Linked DNA regions of Rhinolophus ferrumequinum. The protein of the gene in region 2 interacts with the protein of the main gene of each other region in a pairwise test. Links are inferred from orthologs where the notes say so. Each region holds a gene or a part of one and is shown on either strand. Other genes may lie near its edges. The genes, in order: ATXN1L and USP54.

The links.
Region 1: the proteins of USP54 (region 2) and ATXN1L interact in binary tests that used the Homo sapiens proteins (3 or more experiments, as listed by UniProt). The link is inferred for Rhinolophus ferrumequinum from reciprocal best matches to the Homo sapiens genes USP54 and ATXN1L.

The regions. Positions count from the first base shown.
Region 1 is NC_046298.1:20,857,554-20,869,131, forward strand, and holds the start of ATXN1L (ataxin-1-like), read right to left. Parts: upstream 5,770-11,578; 5' UTR 5,651-5,769; intron 3,304-5,650; 5' UTR 3,236-3,303; intron 3,140-3,235; 5' UTR 3,039-3,139; exon of another isoform or gene 2,061-3,038; intron 2,047-2,060; exon of another isoform or gene 2,044-2,046; 5' UTR 1,927-2,043; coding exon 1-1,926. UniProt on the Homo sapiens protein: Chromatin-binding factor that repress Notch signaling in the absence of Notch intracellular domain by acting as a CBF1 corepressor. Binds to the HEY promoter and might assist, along with NCOR2, RBPJ-mediated repression.
Region 2 is NC_046299.1:51,092,660-51,104,863, reverse strand, and holds the start of USP54 (inactive ubiquitin carboxyl-terminal hydrolase 54), read left to right. Parts: upstream 1-6,572; 5' UTR 6,573-6,662; intron 6,663-6,932; exon of another isoform or gene 6,933-7,047; intron 7,048-7,728; exon of another isoform or gene 7,729-7,943; intron 7,944-12,204. Other genes in the region: MYOZ1 (myozenin-1), read left to right, coding at 1,035-1,278, 1,636-1,801, 2,706-2,937.

The DNA.
Region 1 (11,578 bases), on a different chromosome or scaffold from region 2:
GCCAGGCTCTGGCTGCGAGGGCTCTACCACTTGGGAGCCCTCGCCTGACGGCTGGCTCTTCCCCTCACTGTCACATTGCTCTCTGGGTCCCAAGGCTGTCCTCTCAGGCCTTTCTCGGGGGATACCCAGCTGGCCTGGGGGAGCACAGCTGGCTTGAGAAACTGAGTTACTGTTCAAGCTCTGTAAACTGATAGAGATGCAGACATCTCCCACCTGTAGCCGATGGCAGGGCAGAGAGAAGAGCTGTGCAGTCCGCCCAGGGCTGCAGGAGGACCAACCCTGGCCATATACAAAAAAGGGGTGCTCAGGGGGCACCTCAATGCTCACTTTGCTCTGCTGCTCACCAACCACAAAATGCAGCATGACAAATCCAGGCCACTGGCTCTCCTGAATGTCCACGACTGTGCTAGAGTCGATCTTCAGTCCCCCACTTACTTCGGCACTGCGCACAAAATCCTGGGTCTGGAGGTCCTCCACCCGCTTCAGCTCCCCCGTAGCCAGCTGGATGATGGCGCCTTTCATGAAATGGGAGGGCAAGTGAGAGGAGGTAATGGGGGGTGGCGTTGGCTCCTTGTCTGGAAAGATGGCTCTGGCCTGCATGTCCAAACTTGATGCCACCAGGATCTCCGAGCCCATGGGCAGCAGGCCTGGGTCAGTTCCAGTGGGCACCAGGTTGCCATTGGCTACAACCACTGCTTTGGGTAAAGGTCTATGTTTCACCGGTTCCTGATGGGATTGAGGATAGAACCCTCGGGCCTGGTTTTTCTCAGCCATCTCTGCTGGGTTCCTGGCTGACCCTCGCCCCTCACCCTGATGGTCAGGGGTATGATGGGACAGGTTGAGGGGGCTGGGCTCATCTTTCCTCTGAGCTGCCACCACACGATAGTCCTGAGAAGCTAAAGCGCCAACTACCCGCTGGACCTCAAGGTCGGTGTCTGGGGTCCCTCGGTGTGCTGGCACTGCCACCTCCACCCGTGCAGTCTGAGAACCTGAAAACAACTGTCTATCCACCACACATTCTACCACTGGCACCAGTCCCTGGCCTTCACCCTTGCTGTTGGGGGAGTCGAGGGCTTCGCTTTCTCGTCTTACTAAATTTCGCTCTCGCTGTCTCTGTCCGTTGGCAGCAGCTGCTTCCAGAGCAGACTGGCCCTCCTGAGGAGTAAGAACTGGGCTGGCACCTGCTGGAGGGGTTTCATGCAAGGTGTACCCAGCAGGTAGCCTGGACATCTGATAATAAATGGGCATCCGTCCTGGAGCGAGGTCCAATGGCTGAGTACTCGAGTGATGTGACAACTGCCCAGGTGAGGTGGTGGCAGAGGGGGCTTTGTTGAATGAGTGAGCCGGGGATGAAGACTGCGGGGGAGGAGTGGCTCCTTCTGCCAGGAGCGAGGCATATGGCACAAAGTGTGGAAGGTGAGAGGTGGCGAGGTTGGCAGAAGGGGAAAGAAGGGGACTCGGTAGGAAATTAGGTGGCACAGCATAGGGAAGGCTGTAAGGAGACCCGATAAACTGCAGAGAGGTGGATGGGAGCTGAGCATAGTGGATTGGGGGATAGTGGATTCCTGGATGTTGAATCAGTGAAGACGCTACATTAAACGTGGGGGGCAAGGGGCTCATGTTCACCACGGATGGGAGGCCAGTTGGGGAGAAGGTGGCAGGTGGCACAGCCACCTTATACAGCATGCCATATTGGTCCACTGTCAGACCAGTGATGGCCTCAGCGCCATCAGCCCCTAGGCTGACTCTGGTTCCTGCCTGGCTCTGCCCAGCCACCACAACCCCTCGGGACCATTCAGAGGCATCACTGGAGGGTGTGTGGTTAGTTGAGCAGCTGGTAGTTCTCCCCATATCCTCGCTGGTCACGGGGAGGTCTCGTTTCTTTGGTGGAAGGCATTCCTGACTCCTCTCATGAACAGGTTTCATATTGCTTTGCAGTGTTCCTGGAGCCTGGAAGGGGTCGGCTTGCTCCTTGGGGCATCAGAAGGGGCTTCTCTGTGGCTCCCCTGCACCCCTCTCTGTTGCTGGCTGGGGTGCCCACATCTGCTAGGGAACAAATCAGAGGCAAAGAAAAGTAACCTAGGGGTGAACTAAGTCAAAGGAAATAGCACAACTGTGCCCATGAAGGAAGATGTAACAAAGGGGACTGCTGGGGCAAAAAGAGGTACGAGAGAGGGGCAGACCAGGACGCTCCCCTCCTCACTCAGGCAGCCTCGACATGAAAGAAACAAACAGTCACAAAGAGCTACAAGGAGAAGCATAAATAACCCTAGAGAAACCAACAGCTTCATGATTAGCTGTGCCTCAGATGGGGAGCTTGACTGTTCTCAGCCTTTTCCCCTAACGGGAATTTGAACACAGGGTCTTTGCTGCTGACTCTTTTTTCTAAGTTTCTCCTTTTGCCACCAAAGACTCCTGTGCTATCTTCTTTCCTGAACATAAGACCTCATCTTCACTTCCTTTTCCCAGACCAATGTGAGTTATGATCTCACCTATCCCTAGCTCCCTGCACCTCGGGCCTGGTTAAACTCTTGTCGTCTTCTGCCTCATATCGCCACCACCTCAAGGACCCAGGTGTCGATAAGTCCTCAGGTCTGCTTGTGTCTTGTTTTTTTAAACTTTGATCCCTAAAAGTATCATGAACATTAGCATCTTCTTTGCCCCATAAAATACTACATTCAAACTTGGGCTCTGTGGGGAGAGTGATTGTACGACCAAGTTCTACAATTTATTTGTTTCTCCTTGTCCCCAAAAAGCAACAAAATTCTTCTGACCTCATAAAGACTTCTTGCTCCCTAATCTGGCAAGACTTCTTTTCTTCTCAGAGACCACCCACAATTTGCCTTCTTCATTCATTCCCTTTCTTTTTTCCTTTGTGTTTTGTCAATGGCTCCTACTCCATCGTAGGTCTGCTCTAGGCCCCACTTCCTAAAATTCTGATTCCATTCCTCCAAGCACTCCTGTTTATTACTATCTTAGGTCTGTATGATTCCTAAGAAAGTTCTCTCTCCCCTTTCTCTTGTTGTCACCTTTCGTACATGCTTTTGTCCATTGTCATAAAGTATCTTTTTGTCTGAACACTTCAGTGCATATGAACTTTGTCACCTATTTCTTCCAATCAGGCTCCAGTTCTTTAGATCTGAAAAGAGATTTCTACATTATACTCTGCTCTGTTTTTCCACAGTTGAATCCCAGATGTATTTCTGCAACAAGGTATCTAAAGCACCTGTATTACCTGAGCTTCCAGTACCGCTTCTGAGCAGCTGTAGTAAGAAGCAGTGTCCTCCCCGCTGGTGTGGGAACCTAGAAGACAGACATAGGGATAAAGTAAGTAGGAGCCTAGTCTCTGACCATCTCTGACCATCAAAAAAGGTAACTCCAGGCCAGCACGGTGGCTCAGGTGGCTGGAGCGCCCTGCTCCTAACACCGAGGTCACCGGTTCGATTCCCACATGGGCCAGTGAGCTGCACCCTCTACAGCTAAGATTGTGAACAACAGCTCTCCCTAGAGCTGGCCTGCCATGACACGGCAGCCAGAGGTTGGCGTCAGCTGCCGTAGGATGCTGTGTGCTGCCACAGGCTGCCGTGTGCTGCCATGGGCTACTGTGCGCTGCCATGAGCGGCAGGTAGCCAGCGTGAGCTGCCATGAGTTGCTGTGAGTGGCCGGCCTACGACTGGCGACCAACTGCCTCAGCCGGGAGAGCGCAAGGCTTCTAATACCAGCATGGGCCAGGGAGCTGTGTCCTACACAACTAGACTGAGAAACAACGGCTTGAACTGGAGTAGGGGCGGGGGGCGGGGGGGAAGGGAGCGAGGCGGAAGAAAGGGGGGGGGGAAGATAACTACAAAGCTACAAAGATACTAAACTCCATGAGTCCCTTCCTCTTCTACTACAAGCACAACATCACATTACAGAAAAAGCGATCTCTTAAGCTTTAATTTGTAGGAGGACATCCCTGGAAAAAGTTTTCCATGTCAAACTTCATTGTTTTCCTTAACATCATGTTCTTCATTGACATGTTCTTCACCTGTTAAATTTTCCCAAAGGTTAAATTTATTCCCCAAAGGTTACATTTACTTCCCATCCCAATTCCAGGTAACTGCACAAATAAAAATGGAAGACTCAACATTGTTCCCATGTGAACAACAGGAACCAGGAAAAACCAACTTCACAGCTTTCACTTTTATTCAAGGCTGATGAAAACATAGTTGTGGAGGTTATTTAAATGAGAAAAGCGGCACTAGAGAAAAAAGAACAATTATTTATGTTTCTGGGGCAGAAAAAGAGGTCAAGGGGGAGCCACTCAAGGGGAAGCCTTATTAACAGATTTTTCAGGGTAAAAAAATGGTCTCCTGGGTATGTGTAAAATCTTCTGAGTGACAACTTGGTACCAAGTGCTGAATCAGTTGTGACAGAAACTAAAACATTGCCTGGGTCCTCACTTAGCTAACAATGGGGAAACAAAACTCACACTAAACTGTCAATATCTAAGTCTGCACATGCCAGACACATCAAGCACTGAAGAATGGAGCCCTAATCTCTGAAAACAGAAATAGTACTGAGTACTCCGAGAAACTACCCACTGTCCTGTCCAAGTTCTACAGACCACACTGCAAGCCTCAAACCAAGCTGAAGACAACTTTTACCTCTTACAAGTACTGGCAAGGATGTACACAAAAAGGTGATGAAATAGGAAAACAAAGTGGAAAGACAAATTCTTAGCTCCATGAACACAAATGACACAATGGGCACAAGTCGTGCATCCCTTCTTTGTCGGCAGTTCCAGTAACTGAAAAGCAGTTAGCTTTTAGCTTTCTCCTTCATTCCTAACAAAAACTGGGGTCATGTCTTCAACCCCAGCATCATCCTTGCTCCCTGCAGCTAAAACATTAAAGAAAACCTGCCTCTAGGTCACTGAGGGGTTAGCCAAATACAGGTTAATAGAAGGAATAAAAGAGCCAAGAGGTCTGCAGGAATGACAACAGAGACAAGCCTATGGACCAGGCTTGTGCACCACGCAAAACATATTTCGGAATGTGAAACCCCGGCCTCTGGAGGGGCTCAATGAGGATTTCTCAAGGGGAAGACGTAGCTTGTGACCCCAACCGAGCTAACGGGGAAGAAGGACTGTTCCAGAGAGTTGCCAACCCTGCCAGCAGAGCCAAGGAGTCGAGAGACCAGAATTCGCTGAGGGCGAGAGGTGCGCCCGCCAGAAAGGGGAGCTTGGAAGATACTAGAGGTTATGGCTTCCCCAGTGATCCCGCAATCCTTGCTCCAAAAAGCGTAAGGTCCGAAACTGGGAATTCAAGGTTTAGAGAGTGGGGGTCGACCCTTCAAGCAGAGGGGCAGGGGCCAGCAGGTGATGCTTCCTTGTTTGGGGGCCCCTTCCCGCCCCAAGGACTCAGATACCCCGGCCGGTAGGGACACAGCCACGGGGGCGCCGGAGCCTGAGGCAGCTTTCTGGGCTGGGTCGGAGGGAAGTGAGCCGGGTCTAGGCGCGGCCTCTTTCGCTCCATCGGTCCGCGGTTCTCGGGCCGCGGTTCTACCGGGCAGCGGGCTCCGTAGGGCCACTTCCTCCGGAGCTCCGAGCCCAGGCCTGCTTGGCCCCAGTGAGACCGGCCCGGCAGACCTCACTCCCGGCGACACTCACCGGCCCATCTCACGACGCTCTTTGGGCTCCTCCCGCTCGTCCCGGAGCCGCCGCAACTGCGGCCGCCGCCATCCCCGGCCCCGGAGCCGCCCCACACCCAGCGCCCCCCCCAGACGGGCGCCCGGAGATGGCGTCAGCGCGTCCCGCCCCCGGCGCAGAGAGATTGCGTCACGCCTGGGACTGAGAGCGACGCCTAGGAGTACCCCGGAGGGGAGGGGGCTGGCCGCCAGCGCTTCGTCCCCAGTGCGTCGTCCCCAGCGCCCTCTCTGGTGAGAAAACGAACTCCTTCTCCTGGACCTGAGTCACGTGAATCCAGGGCTGGGCCAGAGCTCCCACACCTTGACCCCACAATGACCCCTCAATCTTTCTACTCCCGTAAATTCTAGGGGTTCCCAGGCAGATCCCTGGGTCGTAGCCATTAGCGACCCTCATTTCCTGGACTTCCCGGGCCTGATTTGTGAAGACTCTTCTGGGGAACCTTAGAGAACCTCGAGGTGACCTGGGCACAGGAGAGTAAGGAGATCCCTCTGGAGATTCAGGGGACAGATGGGAGTTCTTTAAGAGTTGAGAAATGGCTCTGAAGGGGATGAGAGTGGACCGGACCCCAGGATCTAGGGGAAGGTGAAGCAAGTAGTGGGAGACTTGAAAGTCTGTAAGGAATGAGAGGAAGAGGTTTAGTACAATGGGAAGCAGCTTAGTTTAGTGGGAAGAGGACTTTACTACTGGATGAAATATTAGGTCACCATTCGTTGAAGATTAACCAGTCAACTCTATAGAAACATGAACTTCTGATTAACTTAACTGAAAAAATGAACAGTTAAATTTGTGCTTTGATTACAACTGTGTAAAATATAATAGTTCTGCACACAGACAAAACTAACTAAACAGAAAAATAAGTTTAGGGCCGGCCCGGTAGCTCAGGTGGTTGGAGGGCCCTAACGCTAAGGTTGCTGGTTTGATTCCCAAGTGGGCCTGTGAGCTGTGCCCACTACAGCTAAGACTGTGAACAACAGCTCTTTCTGGAGCTGAGCTGCCGTGGACTACCGTGTGCCGCCATGAGCAGCTGGTGGCCAGCGTGAGTGGCGTGGCAGCCAGCATGAGTGGCCCGCAGCCATTGTGAGTGGCTGGCAGCTGCTGAGAGCTGCCATGAGCTGCTGTGAGTGGCCGATCAATGACTGGCGAAGGACTGCCTCAGCCTGGGGTGAGCGCAAGGCTCATAATACCAGCATGGGCCAGGGAGCTGTGTCCTACACAAATAGACTGAGAAACAATGGCTTGAAGTGGAGGGAGGGGGGCGCCAGAGGGGCGGGGAGTTTAACTATTGGAGAGATTGAATTCTGAGTGGATTTTTTTCATTTCAGTTTCTGCAAATTCTGTTCAATAAATAATTACTTTTTGTTTGATTTTAAAAGTACTGGCCCGGCTCTGGTCCCTATGCTGTAGCTATCTGGCCTTAGTAAAGTCATTTTACTACTTTAGATATGGGTTTCCACTTCTGCAAAATGAGGAGCTTGAACTAAATGAAAGCGTGGGGGTAAAATGTAGATAGAAGAGCTCTCTAAACATTTTAAGTGAAAAAATAAGCAAATATGTACAGTGCAGTATGTATTTAATGTTAAAGGACATATAATTTATAGTTGCATATAGAGAGGGTGCCAAAAAAATGTATACACATTTTAAGACAGGAAAAAACTTAAAATTGTAATAATATATACCGATTACAAAAGATGAATACAAGTTTGACTTCTGCAATTACAAGAGCTGCTCAAAGTGGTTGCAATCAGCATCCAGACACTTCTGATTACGGTGAATTACTGCTTGAGCAACGTTGACGAAAGTGTCCACTTGTATACTTTTTTTTGGCACCCCTGGTATTTATGTATCTGTACAGAAAAGGAACGGAAAGGTATGTAACAACTAGTTAACACTGGTTATCTTGGGAGTGGAAAGTGGAATTGGGTGATGGCCAAGAGGAACAAAAGGGACTTATTTTACTGTTTGGATTTTTTATGAGAATATTACCTTAGAGATAGTAAAATGAGTAAGTAAGTAAGATATTAAAATACAAATAAAGTATATGACCTCTAAGATTATTTCGAGGGAATCCTTAGGCCTCAATCTTCATATTTTTTCACCTGAATGAGCACAAAGGATCATCAAAATTATTGAACTACACACACACACACACACACACACACACTCACAACCACACACACACACACACACACTTCTTCCACCAGTGGGTAAAACATAGCGAAGCTACTGATCTGTAACCATCTAAATCAGGCTTTGCTTCTTGAATATTTATTCATGACAGAGAATTATTCTTTCTCTCTGTTTGGCCAACAAGGAAGTCCTGTGGTGATTCTGTTTTAGTGCTAACTGGCATTCTGGTTTCTAGTTCCTTGCTTAGCTCACTAAATTGCTATTAAAACTGCAAAAAAAGAAAGAGATCCTTGGACCATCCAAATGTATTCAAGGATAGCTAATTTTCCCAGATCAGGATATGTACTCAGGGAACTGCTCTTCAGACAAAGAACAGACAAAGGTTGATGCAAGCAAAACCTCTTTTTGACTACCTGCATTATTACGCAATGCAAAGGTGTGTCTGAAAAACACAGGTGATTTCCTGGTTTGATGCTGCAGTCCCCAAAGGGCGGGTCATATCTCTGCTGTATACCCTGTTTTAGAAATCTTTACTCCAAACAATCCCGATTTCTTTGGTCATAGTACATATTGATAGTATGAAGCTCCCTAGTGTCAGTTTGACAGAAATGGTAGTGATAAGTAAGCTAATGTAGCTTTTAGATTTAACACACTAAAATAACCAAAAGTTACCTTATTTCCCTAAATATCTATATTATTCTCTGTTATCTGGATAATCATTTATTTATATTAAGTGAACCTGGCATCTAAAACACTAACTGACTCAGTAAATAATTGTTGAATGAAATTTCACAAAGATATCCCACAGTAGGAGACTGTCCTTGCTAATTCTTTTGCTCCCACTTCCTCATTTCTACTTATCTAGTTAACCTATTTGCTATCTGTTTTCAATCTCATATGAAAGTCCTTCATTTTATTTCACTGAGTTGGTTTTTTTTCCACAGAGTTTAAAGAACTGATGAAGTGAAAGGAGATTTTTAAAGGTATTTGGGACGTTCGGGCACTGAAGAGTTAAACGTCAATCTGTTTTGTCCACCTCTTCTATTTCCCTGGATTCCTATTGAATTCCTTTGATGTGAGTAGATTGAATTTGTGTGATGGGAGAGCTTGAGCTACTCTGTTGGTAGAAAAACAACAAAACCCCACCATGCTGGTTATTCTTCTCCCTCAGCAGGCAGGAGTTTCACACCATCTCTCTGGGTCTCCTAGTTCCTCCTTTGGTGATTTTTTTCTAGATTTGTAATACAGGCAGAGGAAACTCAGACAACTATCCCAATTCTTTTTGACATTAAGGAATCAAACTTGAACTTGTAACTTGGCAAACTATGTGTGTCATAACAATAGGAGGAGGTGGCATTTTTCATATTGTCATGTCTTCCTGCTTGTACGCTTCAGCATGTAAAGGTGCGATTTTAGGAAAAGAATTTCATCTTTGAATGCCAGTGATTGAAAACAAAAACTAACTTCAAGCAACATAGAAATTACCAAAATACTTACTGGATTTTACTTTCCCTAAAAACATGTTGATGTTTGATATTAGATTATTTTTCAAAAGCTTTTCTAGAGGTCCCAGTGTCGAAATGTGTGACTTTTAAGCTCGTGTTTTATCTTCTCTGAACAATTCTATGTCCTCATTTCTACAGGCTTTTAATGTTATGTGATCTCTTCCAATGGGGATTTCCCTTTCAAATTCATTAATATTTTATTTAGAAGGAAGTTTTATAATGTCTCCATAAGTGACTAATATGTCCTTAGGGGAGGGGAATCTCCCTCCGTTGCCTGCTTCCTCTGGCATTTGCCAAAGAATTTCATGTTTGTCAGAAACTTCCTGCAGAACTCTCAAAAGTTTCTGTAAAAACACTGATGACTGGAATAAACTGGAGGAAACCTAACCCTTCTTTGAATTGCAAGAGTCATATCTGGGTTCACAGAGAAGCCAGTGCATCCAGGCCATTAGTGAGCAATTAGGAATTCATCACATGGGGCTTGTTGAATGAATAAAGTGGATGCTGAAAAACTGGAGCCCTCATGACACTGATAACTTTCTCTTTCTCTGGGAAACTTGCTCATCAGGTGATTTATGAGTGTTGTACCTTCTGGTGATATTATGTTCAGCTCTGTTTGCAAAACTGATCACCTTTGCCTTCCAGTCAATTTGCAACTGGTTGTCAATCACCTAAAACTCTTGGAAAGAAGTAAAAGTGAATAATAACTCCAGGCAGCCCAGATCCTAAGCAATCTACACCCCGACTGCCCCCCACCCCCTACCCTCCTCACCCACCCAGTGGTATATCTCCTAAGACCTTACTTACCAGCTTTGGAATTTAAAATAATGTTTATGACTGGTGGGAATGTGGGAATGATTATTATAGTGATCAAATCATTTAAAAATTTCCAAAGACGGTTCTGTATCTTGACTGTATCAATATCAATATCTTGGTTTTGCAAGATGTTACCATTGGGGAGAACTGAGTAAAAGTATACTTTGGATCTTTCTGTATTACTTCTCATAAATTGCATGTGACTCTACAATGACCTCAAAATAAAAAGTTTAATTTTAAAAAGTTCCCAAAGGCTTAAATGTAAAAGAATGTTCAGATTACTGGACTTCTCTCTCCACCAAGGCAGAGCACTTTATCTAGTCAAGCTTTTTCACATGTGCAGTAACTATTAAGTTTTAGCTGCCATGCAAATTTTTCTGGAAGGGCTTCCTTACCCTTTTTCAAACACACCAAAAGAAAAAAAAAAAAGCCATTTCTTCTATCAGGTCACAGCTCAAGTAGTACTAAACTCATGAGTAGAGGTAGTAGCTGACATGTTTTCTTTAAGTCCAACTTATTTTCTGTTGACTTTTGCTCTTTCCTCTTTGCAGTGGATCACATAAGTGAATAACCCTTGATAAACTGCAAAACTGATGATCTCTGATTATGAGGATGGTTCAGGTGAAATAAGTATTGCACATAAATACAGTTTTCTGAGTGCTCCGTAAATAGCACTATTTACTATTGAATTTTACTATAGTCTGTTGATAGAGGGAAAGCTGTTAGTCAAACTTCTAAACTGATTTTTGGGCATTGTTTAGCCAAATCTTGCAGAGGGTGTTTGGGCATTACTTAGATAGTAGGGGCCTAAGGAAAACCCAAAGTAAATCAAATTTAGGCAAAGGCAGTGGTACCCATTTTGTTACCATGAACAACGGGGATGACGTTGATGGCATACACAGAACTTGTGAATTTTAAACTGCACGTCCACATATTCTTTTATTTGATCCTGATAATCCATGATCTATATTATTATCCAGAAATATTTTATCCTCTTCTTACAAATGAAGAAATTTAAATACGGAGTGCCCAAGTGATTTTAGATAAATAAAGCAAATTCGCGCTGTCTTACCTAAATTGATTCCTTTTTAAAAGGAGATAATAGTCTTGATCTTCCAGGGTTCTATTTGTAACACAAACTGTTAACCTAGATAAACAATAAATGTTTGTCGGTATTAGTATTGGTGTAACGACAGTTTAGCATTTGTCTAAAACAAGTCCAGTTCTATTGTGATTTCTTTTCCCCGCAATGTCTTAGGCAAAGAACATTTTCCTACTTTGGACTTGGCTAAGCAACCTTCCAAGCACTGAGCTTTGTGTATATTTCAGGTTCAAATGTAGTCTTATGTCAAGATTTGTATGCAATGGCAGAGGAACTCTGTCTATTCTCTATTAGGTGATGAACATCACTTTTGTTTCACAGCAGACAGACAGGGTGTAT
Region 2 (12,204 bases):
AGATTTAACTGGTATCCTGTAATTTTATTTGCTAAATTTGGCAACCCTAGAAAGAATTAAGTGAATTTTTACGGTCATCTCCTTCTTCAGCCATTCTTTCATCTAAGGACCCCAGATGTGGGGACTGAAACCATCCTTGAAGATCCTACATTCCCTAGTCAGGATCCTTCAAAGAAAGAGAAGTAGGGATTGGAGAGAGGCCAGGCACAAGATGTTATAGCTGCCACGGAGAGGCTCTTCTCCTTTTCCTTTATTTCCCCTCCACCTTCCCTGGGCAGCCGGCCAGGGGAGAGTGGAAATAGCTGCCTATATGGGGCCAGGGGCAGAAGTGTCTGTCGTTGGCCCTTATGTAGCAGCAGAGTGAAGATGCTGAGCTGGTTATATCTAACTTTAGGAGACCAAAAGCCCTCCTTCCTGCCTGGGTCTGGTTACACTGGGTGGAGCACTGGGTTGTGTGTGGTGGGTGGCCAGGAGAGCCTCCTGAAGGAGTTGGCAGGGTTATTTTTAGGCCTTGGGGCTGAATCCAGTGTTGCCCTTTTGGCCACCCTTCCCCCTCCCACTACAATTTCACTGTCAAGATGTCCTGGTCCAACAAGCACCAAGAAAAGAGAGGGAGAAAAAGAGGGAGAGAGAGAAGAGTTCTGTCTGACTAGATGAGGAGGGGGAGGGGGCAGAGAGCTCTCTAGTTCTTCAAATTAAGGCTAAGTTCTCCAGGCCAAACCTATCCTCTCAAAGTTTAGTTGAGCAGAAGTCTTGGTCCTCTTTGCCTTGGTAAGGATGGGAAAGGAGAATGAGTTGCTCTCATCCTGAGGTACAATTGGAGGTACTGAGCCATTGGGGGTCTAACCCCTTAAGGAGAGTTTAATTTCTCTCAGTCAGGCTATCCTTATCCATCTATTGGAGGGGAGAATCATAGAGGATTCAGTGTCTTTTGGTTGCCATTGTCTGATCACATCCGCCTTGCTACGCATACCTGTGTCTTTGTGTATTCCCCATACCCATCCCTAACCTTCCCCTAACTCTGTCCTTTTCAGGATCACTTCCAGAAGTTCCTTCCCGCAGTGGGGGGACAGCTGGGCACAGAGGGTCAGGGATTCTCCTACAGCAAGGGCAGCAGTGGAGGCCAGGCAAGGGGAAGTGGCCCTGCTGGACAGTACGGCTCTGAACAGCAGCAGCATCAGGGCCCTGGGTCTGGATCTGAAGGTACAGGTGGTCCGGGAGGCCAGCCCGGCAGAGGAGGAGCTGCTGGCACAGCAGGGGCTGGCGATACAGGAACAGGCAAGTATCTTCACCCAAGAGTAATGTCTGGTCCCTAGAGCAGCGATATCCACAGGAAGGAGGCCTAAATTGGGTGTAGGGAGCAGGAGAGGCCTGAGATTTCTTGGTGGACTCTATGGGTCCAGGAGAATACAAACATGTATCTATTTCACCCAGAAGTCACCTTTCTGGCTTTTCAGTTTCAGCCCTAGATCCGACCCCAGGCTGTCATTATTCTGCAAACATTATACAATTATCAGGATGCTATACCTTTGGTACTTGGCTCCAGCAGCTTCCCTAGTGCAAGGGTATGAGACTAACTTCCACTGGCTACTACCTGCTATTATTTGACTTACTTTTCTCTCCCATGGCTGCCAGGAGACCAGGCAGGTGGAGGAGGAAAACATATCACTGTGTTCAAGACCTATATTTCCCCATGGGAGAAAGCCATGGGGGTTGACCCCCAGCAAAAAGTGGAACTTGGCATTGACCTGCTGGCCTATGGGGCCAAAGCTGAACTCCCCCAATACAAGTCCTTCAACAGGTAGCGGTGATGGGGGAAGGAACCAGATGCATGCGAGTGTGTGGTAACATGTCCTTCATTGGGATGGAAACTTTGGTTCAAATGTTTCAGGAGGCATGGGAGGAATATGGGGACCCTAATTGAAGGCCTTTGCTCTTTCCACTCCAGCTCAGAGAAACAGCATAGTATGATGACAGAAAATTTATTGGGAGGCAGGATTTAATTTTTAGTTCATAGGCCACTTATTAGCTGTGTGGGCATGGGAAAGTCACCCTATTTCTGAGCGTTGGTTGCCTTGACTGTAAAATGGGAGTAATATATCACACATTTAAAGGCCTCTTGAAGGCTCCCTTCTTTCAAGGTTAGGGTTCCATTACTGTTCCTGCAGTATGAGTCTAGTCCTTTATATCCTACCTTAGGGAGGTTTGAATATCTGTTCTTTTGGGCTTCTCCAGACTGTGGATAGTAGATCTGTGTGAAAATAGGATAGGGAAGTGCTAGAGAAGGGCTTTTGCATCTGGTCCTAAGGAGTCTGGATTTTCCAGGAAATGTTATTCCTCTCATTTAGGCCAGGTACTATCCACTGGAGGCAGGGTCGGGGTTCTACATTGTACTTTAAGGTAGCCTCAGACCCTTGGGTCTATAGTGTTTGGGGTCACTTTTTCTAAAATGCTGGTCTGGGCCACAGCTGCTCATGAGGCTATCTAGTACCAATTAGAGTCCTTTTCTCATTATTAGCTTTGAGGAAACAAGGAAACCAGGAAGGGGGAATGGAGTGCTATGGGAGAAAAAGAATAAGGAGAGCAGAAGCAATCTCACACTAGAATTCAGAGACTCCCCATCTTCAAAACAGAGTAACATCTTACTGATAAAGCTCTGCTCCTTTTGTTCTGGTTTTTAATGAAATAATGTGTCCCCTTTTCAGGACAGCAATGCCTTATGGTGGATATGAGAAGGCATCCAAACGAATGACCTTCCAGATGCCCAAGTTTGACCTGGGACCCCTGCTGAGCGAACCCATGGTCCTCTACAACCAGAACCTCTCCAATAGGCCTTCTTTCAATCGAACCCCTATTCCCTGGCTGAGCTCCGGGGAGCATGCAGACTACAACGTGGATATTGGCATCCCCTTGGATGGAGAAACAGAGGAGTTGTGAGGCGTTTCCTTCTCTACTTTGCATTAAGTTTCCCCTCTCTGGTTCCAATTTGGAGAGGGAAGCTGAGCAAGATACTCCCATTGTAAATCTAGTATCCTTTTGGGAATGGAGGGGAAAAAGAAGGGAGAAATCTGCCTTTCCATCCTTCGGTCTAAGTGCCCACTCCAGCATCCTTCCTCACCACCTCAGAGCTCCCCTTCCACTTTCTCTGTATGGAAACTGTTCTTTTATGGAATTTTCTCCGCCACCGGTAACAGTCAATAAACTTCAAGGAAATGAACTCATTCTTCCTCTGATATTTGAGGGCAGACGAAAACTGAGGCTAACAATGCACAGAGACTAATTAAAGTCAAATACTAGTCATTCATGATTCAAACTTCAAGACCAGACCTGAGCTCTGGTTACTTACACACCCACACCCACATCCACACCCATGAAACCACATTCATAGGTGTATACAAAGGCATTCTTATTCAACAGTAACATAAGACAAATAATCACGCACAGACACACGTACTAGTCCATATGTGGGCACAGCTAAGAAGCTATTGTGTGCTGTGGTTAGGAAGTAGGTGGTGGTGACCCTGCTGTTAGTTCTCTTTTTGTAGCTGATTAGAAATTGGGATAATCAGGATTACCCAATCATTACAGAACTAGAAATGCCATAAAGTTTCCAGATGACATCAGAGTGGGCTTAGGAATGTATGTCAAAGGTTACGGATTCCCAGAAGGATGAGATAGAATAGGGAGCCGTGTTGGAATCCAGAAGGAAGTGGGAGAAACCAGCTGTAGTAGTTATAGTAGCCCTGGCTCTGTACTAACATAGCAAGAAAAGAACTAAGGGTCATGGGGGCACTGCAGTGGTGTCCAGACAGCAATGCGATTGGGAAGAAAGCACGAGAGCCCAACAGGAATGAGTAACATTACTCTTTTTATTGATTTCAAGCATGAGGTTTCTTTAGAATCCCAGACTTACTCCTGTGTTCTACAAAATAAGAAGTGATGCAGACCAGGAAGAATAGAGATGACTCAATCGGTTCTGGGAAAATAAATTCTGAGAGCTGGCTGAAGTCAGCCAACTTCTTGAGCCATTAAAGATGATACTAATTTGCTAGACTCTGCATAGACTGATTCAATTTTCATGGACCTTGGGTCACATGATATTTATCCTGGTCACGTTCCTTTACAAATTAAATACATTGCAGGGGGTTCATAGGTTCTGTGAACTTGTACACAAAACTCTACTTCTACATGCATTTTTCTAAGTAGAGTGTTGTCATAGTTTGGATTTTCCCCCAAATAGATCCTGGAACAAAGTTTTGGATACAAGTAGTTAACAAGGAAGGTGATCCCAGAATCCAAGCAGTGCAAGGGAGAAGAAAGCCAATAAAGGTGCTTTGAGCAATTGGGGCTGAATCCCACCGGGGACTCTGGGAAAAATACTATTCAAACTGTGGTCCACGGACTGGCAGCAGCATTATCTTCTGGGAGCTTGGTTAAAAGTACAAACTCAAGAATCTGTCGCTTATTAAGCTCTCGAGGTGATTCTTATGCATTGGTAAATTTTGAGAAACACTACATCAGAATTGCCCCACTGAGGGGGGGTGGGAACTGGAATATTTAACCACCAAATCCCATCTCTCATTGGTTGTGGATTGTTACCAGGAATGTTAACTCTGCTGGCAATTCCAAAGAAAGGTGTTTGAGGTAGGAAGCTATGGGCTTGTGCAGGATCTGTCTACCAAAGTTGTAGTGAACTCTGAGGTGGGCTGAGGGAATATGGTTAGGGCACAGATAGGATCTGGATAAGGCTTCATAGCGTTCATCTGATTCCCATGTTTAAAAGTCTATGAACCCTGCCAAAAAGTTACGGACTATATTTCTTTAACAAATGTTTATTGAGTGCCTACTGTATACCAGGTACTTACTAGGTCAGGCATCAGAGGTACAAAGGCTAGTAACAACTCATGTGACAAAGAGATTTCATAGTCAATCATAAAATACTTATTAAATGCTTACTATTAAAGTTGAGATTAAAAACAAAAAGTCCAGCATCTGCTAGTCAACAGCTCTGAAAACCTAGAACTTAAGTTTTTCTAAACTCAGAATGTCTGAAATCTTAAATATAACGAAATATCATGATGCAAGCTTATTAATTTACAGGAAGCCCAGGTTGGTTGTGAAATTATTTTCTTAGTATAAAAGTCTACTTGAGAGTCAAATTATTATCAGAAGATGCAATGGTGGTTTAATGCATTAAAATGCGCACTTGCACAGGATCTAGCCAGAAATCCAGTCAGATCCTCAAGCTTTGCTATCTCTTTGCCTGGACATTTTTCTTGTGTTAAAACATCCTTTCTTCAGACCATCTTTTATTGTTACTTGCTTAGCCTCTGTAGCCATCTGAGTTAGCAACTTTAAGGGTTTCTTTTACATAAACCACATGCCTATAATACTGTGCCCCTAACCTCACCCAGATAGCTCATTCCCTCTTCTAGGGTTCAGAGCTTTGTGGTGCAATACTATAGTCACTAGACACACGTGTCTTTTAGGCTTTTAAAATGAGCCTAGTCAGAATTGAGATGCTCTGTGTATAGAAACACTGGATTTTGAAGACTTAGTATGAAAAAATATCTCATCAATAACTTAAAGATATTGATTACATCTTGAAATGGTATTTTGGGTTAAAAATTAACTAAAATTTCCTATTTCTTTCAAGAAATGTGGATACTCGATATTTTAAATTGCGTAATGCGGTTTGCAGTATATTTCTACTGGACAGCAGGGGTCTAGACTATGAGAGCTATTCAGGGGCTGTGAGGGAAGGAATAAATTCTCCATTTATTATTTCTATTCCTTTATTTGTTCCCCTCTGTTCTATTCTTCCTTGATGACCGGCGTTAAGTCTACCTTCTGTTCCAGATGTTACTCAGTCTGCATTTACAGTTGTCTGAGAGCAGAGACAGCAAGCCCTCCAACTTAAATGTTGACAGAGTCACTAAGTCACAAGGATGTGTCCACAGGGCAGCAAGCAAGTGCCAAGTTCAAACCACACGCCAATCCGGTCCCCTTCTGCATCCCAACACCTGTGCCTGATTTAAAAGACAAACTTGTGTTGCCTATTTGCGTCGGGCTAACTGACGGGGGGTGTGGCACCAGCGGAGAAACATAAACATTTCTGTGGAGTCCAATACCATTTGCAAACCACGGTAGGGGAAAAACGTATGAAAACTTCCTGAAGGAAGGTAATGAGGACACGGGAAGGTCAATTTCTGTCTTGCTTCATCCCTACTCCGCATGCAGAAGGAAAATGCCGGGAAAACGGGAACTTCAGCTAAAGGCGACACTGCTCTAAGTTGGAGGCACTTGGGCAAAGAGCAGGCCACATCCCTAGTTATTCCAGCGTGGGGTCCGCTACCCTAACATCCCCCAGCTCAGACTGCCCCGGCTGCACTAGTTTCCGACTCTCCAGCCGGCTCCACATTCTCCCTCGCTCTCGCCCACCTCTGGACCTTCCCAGGCCACCCCTGAAACGCCCTGCAGCCGCCATTTTACCCAATGCTATCGCGAGACACTCAGCCGTCGGGAGCCTGACTCATGTATGTACTTTCTTGCGAGACGTTCTCCTGGGTTGTTCTCGCGGAGGAAAGTGTCGCGAGAGCTGGTTGCCTTGGCTCCCTGTAGCTATAGCAGCCGCGGCGGTTAAGGATGCGGCGGCAAGAGCGGTGAGTGCGACACCCTCAGGGGGGCGGGGCTGGAGGGAACGGGGTGCAGGGGGAGCGCCCAGGGAGGGGGCGGGGAGGGTCGGGTCACGGGGGGAATGGGCGTGAGTGTGACGTGTAGGGGAGGACCCAGGTCTAGTGGGTATAGGGACTGGGCGCCGATCTGCACTGGGGCACGCGGGGAGGGCTGCAGCTGCTGGGAGGTCTAGGGGGAGGGACGGGGTGGAGCAGGGTTCAAGGGGCAGGGGCCAGAGTGTGGAAGTCTGTGTGTGTGTGTGTGTGTGTGTGTGTGTGTGTGTGTGTGTGTGTGTTTGTGTATGGTGGGAGGGAGAGGGTTACCGGGACTCAGAAATGGTTAAAGAGACCGGACTACATCGAGGAATAAGTGGTAAGAAATGGGGTTCAGCTAGGAGCAGGGTATGTTGAATGGGAGCAACAGAGGTTGGGCCCGGTTGCTTTGCACTGGTGGGGATGCGTGTGCGTGTGTGTCAGACCTTCGCAGCTCCCGGGGGCCCCGCCTGAGGCTAGTCCGGGACTTGAGGCGCGCCAGGACCTGCGTCCTAAAGGGCTTGGCGGGAATGGTGGCGTCCCGGACCTTCGCCTCCCGTCCCTCCCAAAGAAATCCCCCACGGACTTTGAAATATGAAAGGAGGTTCCTGGTGAGCTAGTATTAGTTGGGAAGGTTCTTTCGGTGGAGAGACTGAGTGGGATCATGAATGATTGCTGTTCTAAGATAAAGTGTGGGGTGGGAGCGGGTGAGAAATGTTTGAGAGGAAAAAACCAAACCTCAGATGTGCTTCCTCTGGAACGTATTGAGTTGGAGGAAGGGGGTGTGTGCTGAGATCACGTTTCTTGCCAGATTCATTCAATTGTAGAAATCCTTTACAGTATATTTAGGAAATTATATATGCAGTGTAAAATCAGCTTAGATAATACAGTGAAAGAACGTGCAGTACGACACTTAAACCTTCCACGAATGTAACTTACAAACTAAGAAAAGTGTTTTTATTGCAGCAGCAGCATCTGCAGATTGAACTAGGGATAGTTTTAGTTACTTGAATGTACTAGGGATAGTTTTAGTTACTTGAATGTAAAACCTAGTGTTCCCAAAGTGTGCCTGTTTAGGTTATTTGCCTTTTAAGAAATGGATTAGGTTTCATTTTAGGGGACCAAACAAGTTTTGAATATCTGTCAACCTGGAAATAAAAGGAACCCCAGGAGTTAAAATCACCGAGAGGGCAAAGCGTTTAGTCTGAGACTCAAGGACTGTTCTGGAGACCTCAGGTTTGGACTACTTTGTTTGTTAAAATCTTATTTCTAGGGAAAACAGTGGCTTCAATTCAGGCATAAAAATAATTTATCCATTTCGATCTACAGATAACAGCTTTCTGATAATTTTTCTCACTACCTTTATAAGTATAAATGTGCAAAACCACTCTTTGATTATGTAACTGGATTTTTCCATGTTGAGGTTCACAAATTCATTAATTAGAATAATGGCTTTTAAATTTTTCTAGAGCTAGCCTTGATGTGGTTAGTCTTTGAACCTATTTATCTGATATGTTTTAGACTAAAACTTTTCATTTGTAATGTTAATAGCTAAACTTTAAAGTGCTTTTTTTGAGGCAAGATTTATGTGGTAGAGTCCAAAAGATTTCTGCATGAATCCATTAACGAGCTTCACTGAGTTCCTGTTATGTGTAGAGTACTGTGTGTAAGGCATTGCAGGGGGAAAAGATTAATTAATTCATTTATCCATTCAACAAACATTTATTGAGACCTATTTTGTGTCTGATTACTAAGCTTTCAGGATACAAATACAAGTAAGCCTTGCTCTCTGCCTTGAAATTGCTCAGACCCTAGGAAAGGAGAGTAATAGAGAAACAAATAATTACAGTGTAATAAGCACACAATATATGAACACACGCTTATGAAACAAGGGTCTGTCCCTGAGCACTTTACTATGTTTATAGCATAGTAGATGACCATGCTGTATCAGTAAAACACATACTACATTTCTCAGAAGAGATGAAAGTTAGAATAGAAACTTGGGGCGAAAATTCTCGGGTAAGTTCATAATTTAATAGTTTTTTTTAGTATTCTTAAAATAAATATCACTAAGCATCTTAAGTCAATAATATAATAATAATAATAATAATAATAATAATAATGATTATAAGCACAATAGCTAACATTTGTTGGGTGATTATTAATGTTCCAGGCACATTATCTCATTTTATTTTCACAGCACCCTGCTCTTCAGCTGCTACTAATACTTCAATGTTAAAAATAAGAAAACTGAAGATTAAAAAATTAAAAAGTTGCCAAAGATTACAGAGCTGGTAAATGTCAGATTAGGGAGTTAGAAATATACATGATTGGAAAAACCTAAGCAAGATTCCTTTCTTTGCAGAAAGGGAGCCTTGGGATGTGGGGAGGAGGGCAGAGATTGAAGGTGGAATTGGACAGAAGACCAGAATTCAATCTCTATCTTTATTCATAGATTTTCCTCTATCAAATATTTACACGCATATGGGGAATGAATTTCAATATTAGCATGATGCTAAATATGAAATTTGTATTGTACAGAGAATTGAGTAAATTACCATATTCATGTTGGATATAATTGTACAGGGAGCTATGTTTGGGAAAATAGTTGTAATAAGCAGTTGTTAACATTTATAAGCTTCCAGAAAATGATCATTTTAACCCTGGAAATGGTTATCTATATTCATACCGTGTTTCCCTAAAAGTAAGACCTAGCCGGACCATCAGCTCTAACACGTCTTTTGGAGCAAAAATTAATATAAGACCCGGTCTTATGTTAGATAAGACCTGTTATAAGACTGGGTCTTATATTAATTTTTGCTCCAAAAGACGCATTAGAGCCCATGGTCTGGATTGGTCTTATTTTCGGGGAAACATGGTATATATGGCAAGTGTTAATTACAGTAGACTTTAAAGGATTAAGTCAAATATTTTTTATACTGCAATTTTTTTGTATTGAGAAAAATACATACATATTACATGTATTTATATATTTGCTTTCAGATTTTTTTAAGCTCTATATTTCAGACTCCAAAATCTGATTATCTGGTTGAAATTCAAATTTTATATCTTAGTACATGGTTTCTTTAAAAATCTGAGAAGGAAAAATATCATCAGTGTAGTATTGATACTTAGTTCTAGAGTTACTTAGTTGAATGCTTAAAAGTCAACCAGTTCAGTCCATCCTTTTATACTGAGGAAACTAAAGCCTAGAGAACTTTTAAATGACTTGCTCAAAGTCATACAGCTACAATGTCCCAGGTATTCTGATTTCAATTCAGTGTTCCTTTTACCGTACCACATTGCCAAATTATACTTAATAATTGCTATACGTTAAAGATAATTGAGAGTTTTAGATGCTCTCAGCTAATTTTAGGAAACCAGTTATATCAGGAGGCTATAGATGACAGAACAAACTAATTACTTGTTTCCCTTATACTGTATTTACACTTCTTATACTTAGGATAAATGCATTCAGATAATTTATTCAAATGCTTCCAACATTTGGTTTGTTATATCACTGTTTTCATTTTCTCTGTGTCCAGCTGTGGTGCTGGCCCATTTTAATAAATGTTTAGTGTCTTTAAAAATGGAGGTGTACAACTATGTTGTAATACACAGTATTCTTAAGAAATACATGCAGATTTGATGGTGAGTCCGTGATGCAGTTTTTTTTTCCATTGAGTTGAGTTTCTGCAGCAGCCCCTCATCTGTATAGATTTTAGATGGAATAGCATGTGGGTGTGAATGAGATCCTTGTGTTTTCTAACACCTTTTAACTAAGTGAGCCGGGTGCTTACTTTTTTTATGTGAGTTATTTTATTTTATTTTTTATTTTATTGGGGAAGGGGAACAGGACTTCATTGGGGAACAGTGTGTACTTCCAGGACTTTTTTCTTTTTTTCCAAGTCAAGTTGTTGTCCTTTTAATCCTAGTTGTGGAGGATGCTGTTCAGCTACAAGTTGTTGTCCTTTCAGTCTTAGTTGTGGAGGGCGCAGCTCAGCTCCAGGTCCAGTTGCTCTTGCTAGTTGCAGGGGGAGCAGCCCACCATCCCTTGCGGGACTCGAGGAATTGAACTGGCAACCTTGTGGTTGAGAGCCCACTGGCCCATGTGGGAATCCAACCATCAGCCTTTGGAGTTAGGAGCATGGAGCTCCAACTGCCTGAGCCACTGGGCCGGCCCTATGTGAGTTATTTTTGAGGTATTGAGACATTTTTCCAAAAAAGGTTTAGAGCAAGAGAATGAGATGAGAGGAAGAGCCCTGAGGGCTAAGAATGGAACTTCTTCTCCATGTGTGTTGAAAGCTGACACAGCAGTTTATGATATGTGAAGAAGATAATAGTCTAAAAGCTTTCTTGAACTCTTCATCCTCAGGAGAGCTTGAAGTTCTTTTCTTCTGCTTTGATACACATACCCTCTGGAAAGTTTCTATCCATTTACACTCCTACAGGGATGAGTGGGCAAAAGTATTAATTTCCTAGCGCTTAAATTAGCAACAGTAAATAGAGACTCAAGGAACAAACCAAAAACAATTTACATTGTAGGTGAAAAGTAATATCTTATTTTAAATTTCCATTTCTTTGATTGCCTTTAAAGTTGAACATTTTGTCATATTTATTATTTTTCCTGACTGGCTGTTTTGTCTTTTTAAAAGCACTTAAAATTTTTAATAAATATTTAAATTGTATACTTAAAATGCTTTAAAGAGAACAAAGAATACATTCTTTCAAAAATATAATGCCGTATCTATACAGGCTAAGGAATATAGATTCCCCTTCCAGAAATATCTTGTTTGGTGGTTTTTCTTCCAGTCCTTTTTGTATGTGTTTATACTTTATATATCTATTTATAGCTTTTTTAAATCAGTGGAATGATAATGTATTTTTTCTGCAGCTCTTTTTTTTTTTAAAAAAACTTAGCTGTATACCTTTGAGAGATCTCATCCTGTCAGTACACACTTTTTAATAGCTGATTGTATTTCGGTTTGAATTACTGTAATTTATTTAACTGTTCCTTTATCCATGGACATTTAAGTTGTCCCAGATTTTTGCAATTACCAACAACACTAAAATGAAAATCCCTTATTGTCTCTTGTGCACATGTTCTAGACTGCCTCTAGAGTAGGTGCCTAGAATTGTTGCTTAAAAGGTATGCGTGCTTTCAGTTTTGAAAGATACTGCCAATCTGCCCTTTATATAGTCTGTACCATTCTGCATTCCACCAGCAGTTTATGAAAGTGCCTATATCTTTACATACTTGCCAACACTTGATGTTGTCAATCTTGTACATTTTTGCTACGTAATATAACGGCCAAAAAATTTTGTTTTAATTTTTAGTTTCCAGATTGCTTATTTTTAAAATAATTTAAAAATTTTTCAATTAACCGTTGACATATATTATTAGTTTCAGGTGTACAACATAGTGATTAGACATTTATATAATTTATGAAGTGATCACCCTGGTAAGTCTAGTACCCATCTGACACCACATATAGTT